Linked DNA regions of Lonchura striata. The protein of the gene in region 1 binds, or shares a complex with, the protein of each later gene. Links are inferred from orthologs where the notes say so. Each region holds a gene or a part of one and is shown in the gene's direction. Other genes may lie near its edges.

Region 1 (7,555 bases):
GCAATTCAGAACTTTGTGTGGCCCCAAGGGCAGCTCAGAAAAGCTCCATGAAAGCAGCAGGGAACTCAGGCCCTGCAGAGCAGCTCCCTCACACAGAGCCTCTAAAGGCTTTTGCCCCTGCCTTCAGTACCCTCAAACTGCAGGGGAGAAAGCACTGAAACAATAGAGTCTGCAAAAGGAAATTAGAAATGAGAAAAAAAGCCAAGCTTCACCTGCTGAAGATAAAAAATATTGGACCTTCTTGCCAAGAATTCTGGCAAACCCAGCGCCTCTCCAAGCCCTTCCAGTGAAGCAGGATGACTTCTTGAGGGTGTGTGCACAGTAAGAAGTGCAGCATTTTCCTGCAAAGTCTGAGCAAAATCCCCTGCAGCTCTGCTGAGAGATGCCAGCTCCAGTCCTGGGTGCCAAGTGGACATGTCAGTGCAGGATTACACGGGCAGAGTCCAACAGAATTCATCTGTGTGGCACACCAGGGCATTTACACAGTTCTTTTACTTCCAGATCCACAACCAAGCATGTGATGCTGGGTGAGAAACCTCCTTGTCTCACCACATAGCTAAAAATAACCAAAAATAGCTTGTTTTGCATGAATGCAAGTCTCCATTCTGAAATAAAAAAATGTTCAGAAGAGTCCATCATGATGGTTCATATCTCAAAGTACCTCTCACCCCTCTGTCAGTGGTGCCAGTGGAGCATTTATCCATTTTCTATATTCTTCCACTGTCCTCTGCCTCTTGATTAATGTGCCCAATTTTCCCATTTCCCAATTACTCACCTGTCAATTTCTCTTGGGGTTCTGAAGGTCAGGATGACCCCAAGAGATCAAAAAGAGTCTTTGCTTCCCTTAGCCTGAGCAGCCAAAGAAGGAGCCTGGAGTGCTTCTGATTGCATTTTCAAGGTTGTTTATTTCTTCTTACCTAAATTCTCTTTCTCTCTGATCTGCCAAACTCTGCCTAGCAAGGAGGCCATAACATTTCTGCCTTAAGCCCTGGGCAGCTCCTACACTATATACTCAAAACTACATGTCTATATTTACAATTTCTTCACCATTTTCTATCATCTATGTTGGACAGTGTGTCACTATCCTTAACCAATAGAAAAGTGTCACCATCACACCAAGACACGGAGGGCAAGAGGAAGGAGAAGAAGGTTAGGACACACCCAAATTCCTCCATCTTGTACCCCATTGAACACCATATTTAAAGTCCCAAAATTCTACTTTTCCACACTGTGTTAATTCAAGCATGACACTACTAAAACCCTTGTGACTTGTCATTCCTCATCCAGAGTTGACAGTTTTTCATGGGCTGAAATCAAAGCCACAGATGTTTTTGATTTCATGGCAGGGTCCCTGAGACCCTTGCCAGGGTCTTGAGACAACCAGGGCAGCCAGAGGGATGTCCTGGACTCCAGCACTCACCAGGTACTAATATAAAGTAGTTAATGGTGTCCTTACAAGGGCTTTGACATGAAGGTGTTTGAATTCAGCCCTTCTTAAGTTTTCACTTTGCTTTTCATAGCAGCACGTTCCACTGGCAAACATTCCACAATGTAAACCTGGGACAAGAGACATCACCAGCGTGAGGACACTGTCAGTGCCTCACTGTGACTCCTGCACAGTGCCAAAAACCTTGTCTGGGTTAATGTTGCCAGCATTACACTGCATTAATGGAGATGTTACATTACATTCATTGCATTGCTGTTGTATAAAGCTGCACAATTCCAAGGCCAGCATGCAGCACACCCTCTTCCTTGCAGTGTATAAAAGCAAGCACTATTGAAGTTTGCTTTATAAAGAAAAATATCAAATGCTTTAATATTACTTTCATAAGGAAAATCTGTTTTTATTTTCTGTCTTGGTTGTAAAAATAAAATATTTCCATTCATATAGAGCCAGAGCAAGTCTTTGGTTGAATACATTCTTCTATCCTTATTGAGACAGATATGATATAGAACACAAATAAAGATTTGAGAAATAAACTGAAATATATTTTCCACTCTCTTTGTCCTCTCCATCTACAACACAGTCGTGGTCATAGCAACATTGGTCCATGGGTTATCTGGTTTTCTTCTGCTTCTATTCTTACAGGTTTTCAGCATCTGAGCTCAGCAGGATCAGAAAGGATTGAGAACAAGTGGAAGTAGGCACAGGTGGGTCTGGCACATTCACACTTTGAGGTGACCTGGTGTGTTTGCACAGCCCATTGCTTTCCTCTCACAGAGATCACAGTGGGTGTCACTGCCCTTTTGGCTTTTTAGTAAATAACTCAAACCTCTCTGGTTTCCTTTTCTGTAAGACTGAGTTCAAGCTGAACAGACTCAATCTTCCACTTCAGTTTCTTTAGAGAGGTTAATGTGCAAGAAGAAAAATGAAGCCAATTTGGTAGCTACTTCAGAAGGGTTTACTCACCTCAGGTATGCTGCAGGGTGGAGTGGAATTATGGAATTTACCGGGGAAGAAAAAGGAGAAATGGAAAGAAATAAAGTACTAAGAAAGTATGTGGGGAAAAAAAAAATAAAACAAAACAAAAGACATAAATAAAACAAAAAACAAATTGAAAGTGAAGCAGAGGTACAGAAAATGTTTAGTGCTGTACAAATTTTCAAATACTTGTCTTCTGCTGTGCTCTGAAAGAGTTAATCCTGGTGTCAGCCAGGAACTCAACTAATGATTCCTCTCCTACTTCTTACATCAGCAGCAGATCAAGATCAAATTTAACATTGTTAAAATGCAGGGAATAGCTATAAACTGAATCCTTAATGAAAGGAGCAATGGGTCAAAAGGGCACATTTGTTATTCAATAATCCAGTAAAACTTTTCAGTCTGCTGAACAAAATACCTCCATGCAATGCTGAAAATAAATGAGCTGGGTCTTTCTGATGCAGTTTTTATGTGAGATAATTTCAGCAGGTCTGAAAGTCATCACAAGAGACTTGCTTCTGCCTTTTAGTATGTTTGTTGTAGTACCTTCCACGCCTTTCACATTTCAAATGATTTCTCAGTGATTCCCAGGCTCCACACTTTGAATGTGCCTCAAAGGAACCAGCCCCTGGTCCTTCACACGCTGCTGCTATTTTGGAGGCAGTCTGTGCTTATTGGAACAATCTTTTTCTTTTCATTGAGAGATCAAGCTAAAGGGTCAAACAGAGAAAAGAGATACACACACAAATAGCAGATTCAAGGAGTTCCTTGCCAAAGGATGTCGGGGATGTAAAAGGTTTACATGGCTTCAAGGAGGGGACAGGGCAGGTACTCAAATGAGAGCTAATGAGAGGCTCTGGGCAGACAAATCACACACCAAGCTGACAAAAATCCCATAAATGAGCCCTCAGACCTTACACCTCTTCAATTTCAAACAGCTGAATCTCAGAAAATTTTATCTACAGACTTGGGACCTTTTTTGTTTTAGAGAAATTCAGGAGGTAATCAAGCATTCATTCAGAGCTAAATGATCTATTTTGGCACAGCCAGGGTTCTTGCAGGAGACCCTTTTTTTTTGGCTCAGAAAGTGTGTTTGCAGAATGCTTGTCATTCAAGAATAAATAAGAGTTTATAGAAGTTTATGCCACATAGGCAATAAATATGGAATAATATGCTGTACAGAAATATTCCCAAAACAAGGCTCTCTAAGAATATAGGATCAAATTCCAGCATACTTGGGAAGTGAGAAAATATTTTGATGTCAATAAGAATTGCAATTAAAATCTTTAGTCAGACCTCAGGAGAAAAACAATTGCAGTGTTTAAAAAAAGGCTGAAGCATTATAATTCCACAGAAATGGCTACAGAAATTATTTGGCTTTCTACTGATCAAAATCTGTCTCCAAGTACTTGCTGCCATAGACAACAGAAAATAAAAATTAGCAGAGATTTGAACAACAAAATCATGCCAGAATCTTTTGTTTAGTTGTGTTTTGCTTGTGGCTCATAACTAGGATGTAGCACTATAATAATTTTGCAAAAGCTTTTTGGACTGAGTTTTGGGGGTGTTTCTGGTCTGCTTTCCCACCCTCTGACATAAACAAATAACCTGCATCTGGTTTTGTGTCCCATTTTTCAGATTGGCAGCTCCCTAAATCCCACTTTAGTGACTCTGTAAATGCATCAGCTGCGGGAGCTGATGCAAGTGCCTGGAACCTCTTTCCCTACACTATAATCTAACGCACGTAGCGAGCCAATGAATATGTGGGAAAGGAGGGGCTTTCTGGCTGAGGGGCTCTGCCAGGGAAACAGCTGTGGAGCAGCACAACCTTACCCAGAGCCAGGCAAACACACTCATTCACATCCTCAGTGGCTCTGTGCTTCCAGGGCTGGCAAGGCAGCTGCCCCCTCCTCCTCTCTCTGCAAGAAGTGAGCAAACTTGCACGGAGAAACAGAAAGGACAGCAAACCTCAGCTGTGAGACATTTCAACAGATCCAGCAATGGCCTGGGTCAGTAATTTCTCCTGGTTAAACCACCTTGCTCTACATGAAGAACGTCTCAGGAGGTACTTAAACAGCACTGAGGATTATTTAACCTTCCTGTGCGGGCCCAGACGGAGCCACCTGTTCCTGCCCATGGCTTTGGTGTACTCGGTGATCTTCGTTGTCGGGGTGGTGGGGAACTTCTTGGTTTGCCTCGTCATCCTCAAGCACCGCAGCATGAAGACCCCGACCAACTATTACCTGTTCAGCCTGGCGGTCTCAGACCTGCTGGTGCTGCTTTTCGGGATGCCCCTGGAGGTCTACGAGATGTGGAGCAACTACCCCTTCCTGCTGGGGCCCGTGGGCTGCTACCTGAAGACGGCTCTCTTGGAGACCGTGTGCTTCGCCTCCATCCTGAGTGTGACCACGCTGAGCGTGGAGCGCTACGTGGCCGTCCTGCACCCGCTGCGTGCCAAGCTGGCCAGCACGCGCCGCCGCGCCCTCAGGACCATCCTGGCGCTCTGGCTGCTCTCCGTGCTCTTCGCCCTGCCCAACACGGGCACCCACGGCATCGTGCTGCAGCGCTTCCCCAACGGCACGCTGGTGCCCGGCTCCGCCACCTGCACCGTGGTCATGCCCCTGTGGATCTACAATTGTATTGTGCAGATCACTTCTTTGCTCTTCTATGTGCTGCCCATGGGGGTGATAAGTGTGCTGTACTATCTGATGGGGCTAAGAGTAAGTCCTGCTCCAACTGTGCTCAGTGTTTCCTTGGCTCATTCTTGTGTGTTTGTGTCTATATGTGGCTTTTGAGTGACTTTTGCACCTTCGTTGTTGCCCATGTTTTCCCCTCAAAACAGCAAAAGTGTTTCTCAAACCTCTGAAAATAGTAGATCCAACTTCTTCTCTGGTGCAATCCTGTTCTGAGATTAGTATAGCTATGTTGAGGAATAATTTACCCCAATCTTCTTATAAAAACTTACCATCACTGCTGCTCACATCTGAATGTTAATGAAACACCCAAGTCTGTAGATTGTTTCCAGCCTCCCAGAGATTTACACCTTTGCAGTAGGGACTAGAAAGAAATGGACCAAAAGGAAAATGTGAAAAGAATAAAAAGAAGATGGCTAGTGATTGAATCTTGTGTACTATTTGTTTTCTCTTTCCTTGTAGAATTTCCATTGCATTACTTTCTTCTTTTCCTTCCCTGGAGCTGGTGGTTATATTCACTTGTTAAAACTCACAAAGCTCGTAAACTGAAATGTTAGCTTATTGCTGCAGCTAGAAAATTCATCAATTTATATAACTACAGCCTTGTTTTACCAGGCTACCTTAGAGCTTATATTCATTCTCTCTTCAGAAATTGAAACTACTTTTAACAAGTATCCATCACGTCAATATGTGGAAAAACAATCAGGATCACAGTGTTATAAAACTACATAGCACAACACTGAAATGTACTGCTAATCACAGTGACTTGATGACCACTTTCTTCTCATAAGTTACAGACATTTAGACAATATAAATCCCATTTTATCACACTGAATGTAACTTAAAGTTTACAAAGATGTGTCTGATCCCTTAGCAAGAAAGGAAGACAAATGAACTTATTAAATAATATGCAAGAAACTCAACTAAATCTCTGCTGGTGTACATATCATTTTTACTTACCCAGGGAAAAAAACATGGATTATCTGCCAGAAATCCACAGAACAGAGCAGATCCTCAAGGCAGTGAATGGGTTAAACTATCCCCAGTGTCTGGAGGCTGTTGAGGGGTCTTTTGCAGAGTTTCAATTAATATTTTGCAACATTAGACCCGAAGGGAATGAAAGGTGATGAAAATAGAGTTGTTACAAAAAGAAAAAGAGAAATCCCTGAGTTTATAAAAGGAAGACTTGAAGGTTGCAATAACTTCTATTTGCAGCAGCAGATATTCCTATACCCCATCCCAGAAGAGAAGCTCAGTACCAGATGAGGGCTGATCCCCCAGGACTTCTGCAAATTTCCACATTTGTTCAAGCTGTCTTTCCTAAAGACAGGAATGTTCACTGTTTGTGCCTCTGTTTTTCTGTACATCCAGCTCAGACTTCCAAATTTTAACAGAATCCATCCTGGCTAGATCTGCATTATCTCCAAGCTGCACTGGCAAGATTTCATTTCTTCAACAGAAGTGATAGAAGAATGATGAATATATATAATTTTCCAAGAGGAGACACTTTTCATCTGCTCACAGAGGAGGAAATTAATGAGGTTTTAGCAGCACCCTGCAGTCACCTGAGTGCCATGTATCACTCACAGAACTCAGTGGAAAAGATCAGGGTTGATCCAAAGGTTGTGCAACAGCTTAAATTCAGCAAACAGAGGCATGACCTTTTCATATCCAGGCTTTGTAGAAAGGGCATTTGTTCACCATTTTCTCTCTCAAGCTCTGCCAGCACTGGACACTCTCAGGATGCAATGCAGATGGGGACAGGGACCTGCCAAGCTGCTGTGAGAAGGCAGCACACATGGGTCATAGGGTACCTGAGTCAATTTATAGTTCAATCCCTTGAAAAAATGTAAAAACACATTTGTCTTTTTCACTGGGAAATGGTTGATTACCTCATTATCTACTTGGGTATAATTTTAAGGCTTGGTGGTTTAATATTGCAATGTTGTGGTCAATTGATCAGTTGATCACCAGTGTAAAGAAGAGGACATTGCTCATTGCACTGTAAACTCATTAGGCTCAATTGTGGAAGCTTCCTGCTGCCTCTTTCATGGGGTTCCCATCACAGATACCTTTAGGATAAATTCCTAAATCATCCAGGCTCTTCAAACCCAGTTCAGCTGTTGAGGTGTGGGTTACAACCCACAGCCAAAGAGCTGAGGAGGGAGGGGAGAGGGATGAGATGAGAACATGGGGCAGTAGCTGCTCATGGAAGTTCATCCGTGGGGCACTGATTGAGGTGGGATGGGATTGCTTGGGGACAAGTCTGCATTGCAGCAGGATTCAGTGCAAGGTCCCTGCCCATTTCTTTCAAACTGATTCCTAAAAGGAATGCAGGTGCTGATCACAGCTTGTCTAAAAATCATACTCTATTTAACAAGGGTTTCTGACAGCATAGGCTGGATGATTCTTCTCCCAAGGTTCCAGCTTTTTTCTTAGT
Region 2 (7,571 bases), on another chromosome or scaffold:
TGAACTTTATAAACCAAATTTTCAGGATTCCTTCCTTTCTGCTGGATTTATGTGCATATTGTGGAAAAATTACACAAAACCATTGTGAGGTCATGATATGAGTTTGTCTCTCATTACAAGATAAATGATCCCATTGTAAGCCCAACTCATCTCACAGGAGTGTGGAAGGGAAAATGACATTTTCTAAGTGTTGTTACTCATCTCCTTTCACTCTCTATTTTCTTGCTTAAGGTCTTTTCAGTTAATAAAACCTCTAGATTCTGAAAGCAATATTGAGGAGAGAAAAGTTGAGATGAGAGTATCTTGAAGATTAGCCTTTTTCAAAAAAAAATTGTGCGACTATACTTCTTACATAGTAATTATAGTAGATAATTATTCCTTTCTTTTGAACAGAATTTTTTTTTTCTACAATCATCAGGACTTCATAAAACAATAATCTCTTCTGTTTCTAGTCCCATGCTTGTATAGAATAAATAATGAATGCTGGTGGAAAATATGGAAAATGGTGTGAGTTTGGTGGAGAAAGGTTTATCATCTGTTTATGGCCTGTTCTCATTCATTTATGACCTGTTCCACTTTTAAAACAAACTCAAGTCCATAAAAATTGCACATTTATTCTGGGTATTCACAGGTAGTCATAATTTTTGAAAGATTAGCATGTTTTTTCTGAATTTAGTTACTGTCATCAGATTTTCTTTAGTCATTAAAGGTTTCAGTCATCTCTCTTTTACACCAGGAATTTTTTATGCAAAATATTCTGTAACTCTTGAAGAGAGCTCTGAACATTTGCTGTAATCAGTCCCATCACTGTTCCCTAGTGGAGTCTCTCAGCACAGTGGCTGGGTTTTCTGTCCTCATTTCCAGTAGTTCAGGCAAGATCTAGTTCATTAGAGGGTCATTTATGTTTTACTTATTCATAAAGGAAGAGCTGAGGCATCATCTTAGATAAAGTATAAAAGGAATTTTTTGAGAAAATACAGGGTCTATCATGCCCAATATGACTTGGGTTTTGTTGTTTGCGTTCTATTTGTAGGGAGACATCCCTAAAGACTACTACTGACTGATTGTCTCTTTGTGTTAGGCCAACACTGTAATAAAAGCTCATTTAGAGATGCTTATTCTTCAATTGAGACTCCAGTGACTTTTCTTTATGGATCTTTTTCTGTTCTGACACAAACTCTCTATTCATTATTACCAATAAAAGGAGAAAATACCTTGAAGGAGAACAGTATCTGAGCAGCCATTAATTAGTTTTTGAGACTTTCTTACACAAAATTTAATTCTCTAGAACATAAAAAAGGCAATTTGCCCATTGTACAGAAGGACTAACAAGCTATTAATGGACCCATCTGAAGTTGTGAGAAGCATCCTCATGCTTGCACACAGCGAGCCATTTCAAGCACTCTCCAGTAAGTTTGAAATACATTGATGAAGAAAATGCAGTATGGATAAAAGCACTCAGAGTGCTTGTGTTCAGATGTAGGAAGAATGATTTCTCACCATTTTTATTAAATTAAAGTCATAGAAAAACCAGCATGCATTGACCTCTTCAGAGGCAGCACGTGCATGCATGCAGCAAGGGGATTCAGTGACATACCTCCTGACCCTGCCTTTGCACAAACAGGGAAGATGATGTTTTCACATACTCAGCTCTTTGATTTCCTTTCCACTAGCCATAATTAGCATTTATTCAAACAACATTAGAATGAGCATAAATATTTCAAAGAAGCTAATTACAGCATCCAAAACATCCTCTAAGCTATTCGTTTAATGAGGATATGTTTTGTTCCCGCAATAGTGTAACATTAATTTCATCAAGCTATTAAACAAAACAAAACCAGATACAATAAAGAAAGATGTATTTTTTCTCCTGTTTACAAGAATGCTTACTTGAATTTTGGTGAGTTCCTTGAATAAAGGTGACTGTCATAAACCATACAAGCTTCCTATAAACTCAGATTCAAGCTTGGTGATGTTGCTCTGTCAAAATTTGCAGCAATTTCAGTAGAAATATTATTTTGGTATAATATATAGTCTGACCTTAGTGCAAATATACATTTTTGTTAGACGTTATATTGTTTTTTCTAATATATTACAAGGAGGATTATAACTATTCCCAAATCAGATTACCTTACCCACGTATCAGGAAATGCAATTTTTTTCTTTTAATGGTAATTGGAGGACCAGAAGTTTTCTACCTGGAAATTTTTTTCCATAATCTTCAAAATCTCCTGATATGTTTTTGTGCAAGTGGTCTCAGCAAAATTTTTCAGTTTCCAGTATTAAAACACACTATGCAAAAATGCAGCTTCTGGGCTAATCAAAAACCTTTCACCTGACACTAGTTTAATTCAAGATCTTTTCTTCAGTATTCTTAAAACACTCTGCACCATTCAACAGGTGCAGAATATTTACAGGTATCCTGTACTCTAATCATAATAGATTGTAATTTATTTTACTTCACCATCTATTAAATATTTAACAAGACTGTAATAATTAAAATGCATAACAAATTAAATCCTTCCTTAGGCTAAAGCTTGGGACACTGATTCATGCAGCTGAGTCAAGATAGATTGGGGAGATATCATTCAGGACTGATGAATTTATGATCATTTTATCAAATAAATATGTTCTGCTTTTATTAATGAAAAACCAGAACTCAATGCAATACCTCAATTAAAACTATTAAAAAAAAAAACCCTTTTAATTACGTAGCTATAAATACAACCATATATGCAAAATACAGGCTTCTTCAGTTTATATGCTGCTCTGATAACTGGCTCTCCATTGACACGGGGATTAGCTCTGTCCACAGACATATAAAGGAAAGCTTTGCTACTGAATCTGAGAGAGAAGATGCTTCTATTACTAAAAGAATTTTACAGCATCTTATCATGCTGCTTGGCAATGCTTTTGCAATTCTGATGGCCTATCAAAGTATCCAGGGTGGCAGAGCCCACTTTTTTCACATACATCTGATAAAGGTGAAGGAAAAGAGCAGAGACCAATGCTATGGCTATAAATCAAAGTTTTGCTTTGTTTCACAGTAACCACAAGTGCTCTTGTCAGGCAGATTTACCCCACCACATACTATTTAGCCCCCCAGTCAAAACCCACTGAAATGGTAAAAAAGAACTGCAAGTTGTTACAGAAAATGACAACCTCTACTATTGCGCTATTGCCTCATTGCTGGACTGTGATGTACTAATTTCCTTAGGAAACAATGCAACCAAGAGAAAAAAATATGAATGTAAAAAGAAGGGAAAACAAATCATAAAGATAGACTCTAAACTGGGATCTCCCATCCGGGAACCATCTCTGTAGCATCGGAGCAGCGCCTCAGCTGCGCAGGACCTTCCTGGAGCACATGGGAGAAAGCAGAGACAGTCAGACATGTGCCACACTTCCAAGTCAGACCTTGCTGCTGGGCTCGGTGTGAGGAACAGGTCAGCACCAGCATGAGCATCTTGCTCACTCTTGGCAGCGGTGATCATCACTTGTTGGATCTGACAGCAGGAGGAACGGCAGACTTGGGTAACCACTCTGGTAAGCCAGACCTTGCTGAGCTTCAGAGATGGCTGGACTAAACTGCCCGAGTGCCTTAACAGATCTGGAGACTGTGTACTTTTGACTGTCATCGATTGTCAGTCATTCTTTCATTATCTACAGGCACAAATAACAATTGGACCAAGGTCCGCAGCTGCATTATAAGTAAAATACCTTGCTAAGCACAGTATTAAGATTTTAACAGCTAAATATTACCATATGCTGAGTTCTGTTTCATGGTGTGGCATTGTGTGTATTGAAGGCATAGGAAAAGTCTGGAGGCAGTCACACCTTTGAAGCCGGGGAGTCTCCAGAAAATGTAGTGACCAGTCAGCAGAGACAGAGGGGTGCCCTTCCCCAGAGCCACCGACAGCTTCTCCCACATGCAAGCTTCACGAAGCTTACTGCTAAGTTCAGCCAGCTGGGGGCAAATCAGCTAGAAGGCTCGATTTACCCGCTTTAAATCACGCCTCTTCTCCCCCGCGCATCGGGCTGGGTCGGTGTCTGAGCACCCTTCGCCGCCCCGTCTCATCGCTCGGAACGCCCAGGGCAGTGCGGGAGCGCTACCTGCCGCGCCAGCCGCCGCGGCTCCCGCCGGGCTCCGGGGGACTAGCCGCGGCTTTCTTTGTTGAGGAGGGGCTTTGCTAAAGGGCGTGGAGCCTGGCCAGCGCCTCGGCTCCGTGCCGAGCAGGGACCCCGCGGCACGGCGCGGGCTCCAGCGGCGCAGCGGCGGGGCGGAGCGGGCTGAGTCACCCGGCGCCGGCCCCGGGGGGAGCGGGCAGCCCTCCGAGCCGGGCTGGGGCTGGGCCACGTGTCGGGGGGATTTAAAAAGTTGGGGCAGGGAGCGAGGCCATGCCCAGAAGAGCGGCTGGCAGAGCGGCGGCGGCGGGAGCTCGGCGGACATGGGACCCCTGTGCCACCCTCGGCCCGCCGCGGCCGCCCCCGGGCGCAGCCCGCGGCAGGCAGCGGACGGCGCGGCGCTGCCCGGCTCCCCGCTGCTGCTCCTCTGCCTTCTCCTCGCTTCCTCCGTTTCTGCTTGCAGAGGTGAGGCTCGTCCCGCTCGCAATCCCGTCCTGGCCGCCAGCTCTGCCCATTATCGGGGAGCAGGGTGCCCGCAGCCTGCCAGCCTTGCGGGGCAGCCCCTGGGCGCTGCTCCGGGGATGGGTCTGGGGGCTTCTTCCCGTGTCCCGGCAGGGTTACCCTGTCCTGGCAAAACACTCCAGCACCTTGGGAAACGAGGGCTTTTGTTGAAAGAGATGTAATTTTAAGTATTATTTACTCTGATTTTAAAAGGTAAGAAAAGACATGGGACAACATGTGTCACAAAATTGCAGGACAAATTAGGACCCTCTGTCACTCATTCCAACCTATAAATATCGCTATATTTATCAGGTGAGGAATCCTGAAAGTTGCTATTTTTGTAGCAGGGGGCTCTTGTGAAACATCCAACGGACTGTTTAACAAACCATACTCTCTTTTCGACTCTATTTTCCCACCTCAGATAGATTAGCTGCTTACAGCTTGTAAAGTAATGTAACAAAACGCCGTGCAAGGACCATTTCTATTTTGTTTGTATTTCATTTGTGTGATTTGCTTTAGTTGTGAGGGTTTTTTTCCTGCTTTGTTGTTTTTTGTTTTTTGTTTTTTTGTTTTTTTGTTTTTTGTTTTTTTGTTTTTTGTTTTTTTTTAATATCAATAACCAAAGAAATCTAATGGCAGCATACTTAATATGTTAAAAAGAAGTTCGGAAGATGTGGAAGAGCAGAGGGAAGGAAGAGGAGCACAATGGAGGGCAGTGGCACAGAGTATTTCACTGTTCTCACACAAATGATTGCAGGAGCTTGTTTAGGGATGCAGTGGAGGGAAGAGAAAATGTAAGAAGATGTGAGTCCCAGGCTGCGCATCTGGCATTCTACTGCCTTGAAATAAACTGAATTTTTTAAAGATGGCAGAATTGAAGGATAGGACAGCAAATGTGCTGTTGACAATGTTGATTTTGTAGAAAGATTTCCTCCTCTGTGTTCCCTTTAAATAGGATTCTTTTCTTCAATAGCACATGCTTCTCTTCTCTTTTCTTCTCTTCTCTTCTCTTCTCTTCTCTTCTCTTCTCTTCTCTTCTCTTCTCTTCTCTTCTCTTCTCTTCTCTTCTCTTCTCTTCTTTCTCTTCTCTTTCTTGCCTTCTTTCCCCCCCCCCCCCCCCAATTCTCCCTATGGTTTTGTGCTGTATATTGAAAAAAAACCTTAATATTTCACTGTGTGTGCTGATGTGGAAATGAATGAAGTCCTGTAGGTACTGCAGCCCTGTTCTGAATGGGGTGATGAAGGAACACTGTTCAGTCTTTGGAGGAACACAGTCCTAGGTTCACAAAATAGATGGGATTTCTTATGAAATAAAAATTTCTGAATATGTAGAGTAGGGTAAAGGAAAGTGAGGAGTGGGAAATAGTTTATCTTCTCTGTCCAGAAGTTTATGCTACAGGCCAAAAAAATGGAGAAAGTTATAATACTCAGGCTTTCCTGCTTGTTGCCCTAAGGTTTACTAATGCATGCAAATGAATTTCTTTAGGTCTCCCTGAAAATCCTTGGGAGCCAGTCAATTGCAGAATTGGTGTTCAGAGATAGGCAGGCAATGCTCTGATGGGGAAGGTGTGCTAATTTGAAAAGATTGCCCTGTCCCACTCTTTTAACTAGGATACTAATCTCAGCTAGTGCTCCAGTTTGAATACACTAATTTAAGAGCAGAAGACAACGTAAGACAACTGTAGCACCTTTAATTTATTTGGCATTTTTCTTTGAAATGAAACAAATAATTGGAAATCAGTTTCCTTGTTATGTGAACAACTCAGAGATTTTTTTAAAAATAACATTTCTATATAGTGTGAAATTAAGATCCCCTCTAATTCTTTCTTGGGGCAAAGCAAGCATCCATAAAAATTGGTTGCCTCAAGTCTGTGCCAGTACAAAAATGTGGTTTTGAAATTCATCCCATTCCATTAATGTCTGGAACTAACTACTGTTGTGATTATTGTTATCAGGGGTAAATGTAAAACAAATAACATGATGGCATTTATTCCCTGCTCCCTGGACACTCTAGCTAGGTCTAGAGGTCCAGCACCAGTTTTCCTCTCATGGGAGTTACAGCACATCCCCTCACTGACATCACTGCGTGGTGTGTGACAGACTCACAATTTGGTGATGATCATTTCTGTTATTTACAGAGACTCTAACAGTACACTGCTATCAGAAATACACTGCCAGGTAAAATAGCAATGTGGTAAGAGGGACATTCTGGACATTGAGCTGGAAGGGATACTGGGACAGTGACTTCCATGTCTACAGCCTGGGTGGGTAGAGATAGAGAAAGGAGATCCCCCAAGTTAAGCACAGCTTCACTGCATTTTTATGCAATTAAGAACACATTTAATGTACTAAGGGACAAGCTTTTCCACATCGTATATTCAAGACAGAGGAAACGAATCCAGTTACAGATGAACTGTCTATCACCTTGTCAAAACATGTTCATATCATGGGCACTATTTATATGCAATCGTACATTACGTAGTGCATGTTCAATTCTGCAGCTGTAGCATACAAGAAGGCAAGAAGTAGAGTCCAGATCTTCAACTCACAGTGCATGCACTGGAGGTGAGCAGAGCTCTCAGAAAGCTCAAGGTAGTAGGAACTGGAATGTGATTTTCTGAGTAGGTCTCAGTGAGGCCTAAGTAACCTCCACACAGTTTATTGTTATTATGTGAATGCCCATATCTGCTGTGAATTGTGAAAAAGCATCCTGTTGTGTTGCTGAAATAGAGCAGGCAAAAGCCACAGAGCACCCAGGTCACAGACTTCCTTGGGCCAAGCAGCTCTCGGCCTCTGCAGTTAATAATTGTGCTAGGTACATCTGATGTGGGACACACAAATGACCTTTGCTGTACAGCATTGCTAAGCACAGTTTGTGCTTCCAGGTGCACCAATGCCATCCCAAGCACTCACATCAGATGAGGATATGCAGCTGTTGAAAGAGG

The links. Proteins that work in one complex are often made in the same cells at the same time.
Region 2: the proteins of NMUR2 (region 1) and NMU are in contact, whole or in part, in a cryo-EM structure (PDB 7XK8), measured with the Homo sapiens proteins. The link is inferred for Lonchura striata from reciprocal best matches to the Homo sapiens genes NMUR2 and NMU. Residues at the interface, in NP_064552.3 of Homo sapiens: Ser42, His43, Gly98, Glu102, Glu105, Met106, Trp107, Arg108, Asn109, Tyr110, Pro111, Thr123, Phe126, Glu127, Asn181, His185, Pro199, Ser201, Thr203, Cys204, Val206, Tyr213, Phe284, Arg288, Phe291, Glu295, Trp297, Ser298, Glu299, Ala302; in NP_006672.1 of Homo sapiens: Glu146, Phe152, Ala153, Ser154, Gln155, Gly158, Tyr159, Phe160, Leu161, Phe162, Arg163, Pro164, Arg165, Asn166.

Annotation. Positions count from the first base shown.
Region 1 is NC_134617.1:5,838,416-5,845,970, forward strand, and holds the start of NMUR2 (neuromedin-U receptor 2), read left to right. Parts: upstream 1-4,326; 5' UTR 4,327-4,422; coding exon 4,423-5,142; intron 5,143-7,555. UniProt on the Homo sapiens protein: Receptor for the neuromedin-U and neuromedin-S neuropeptides.
Region 2 is NC_134606.1:27,417,530-27,425,100, reverse strand, and holds the start of NMU (neuromedin-U), read left to right. Parts: upstream 1-4,433; 5' UTR 4,434-4,448; coding exon 4,449-4,590; intron 4,591-7,511; coding exon 7,512-7,570; intron 7,571-7,571.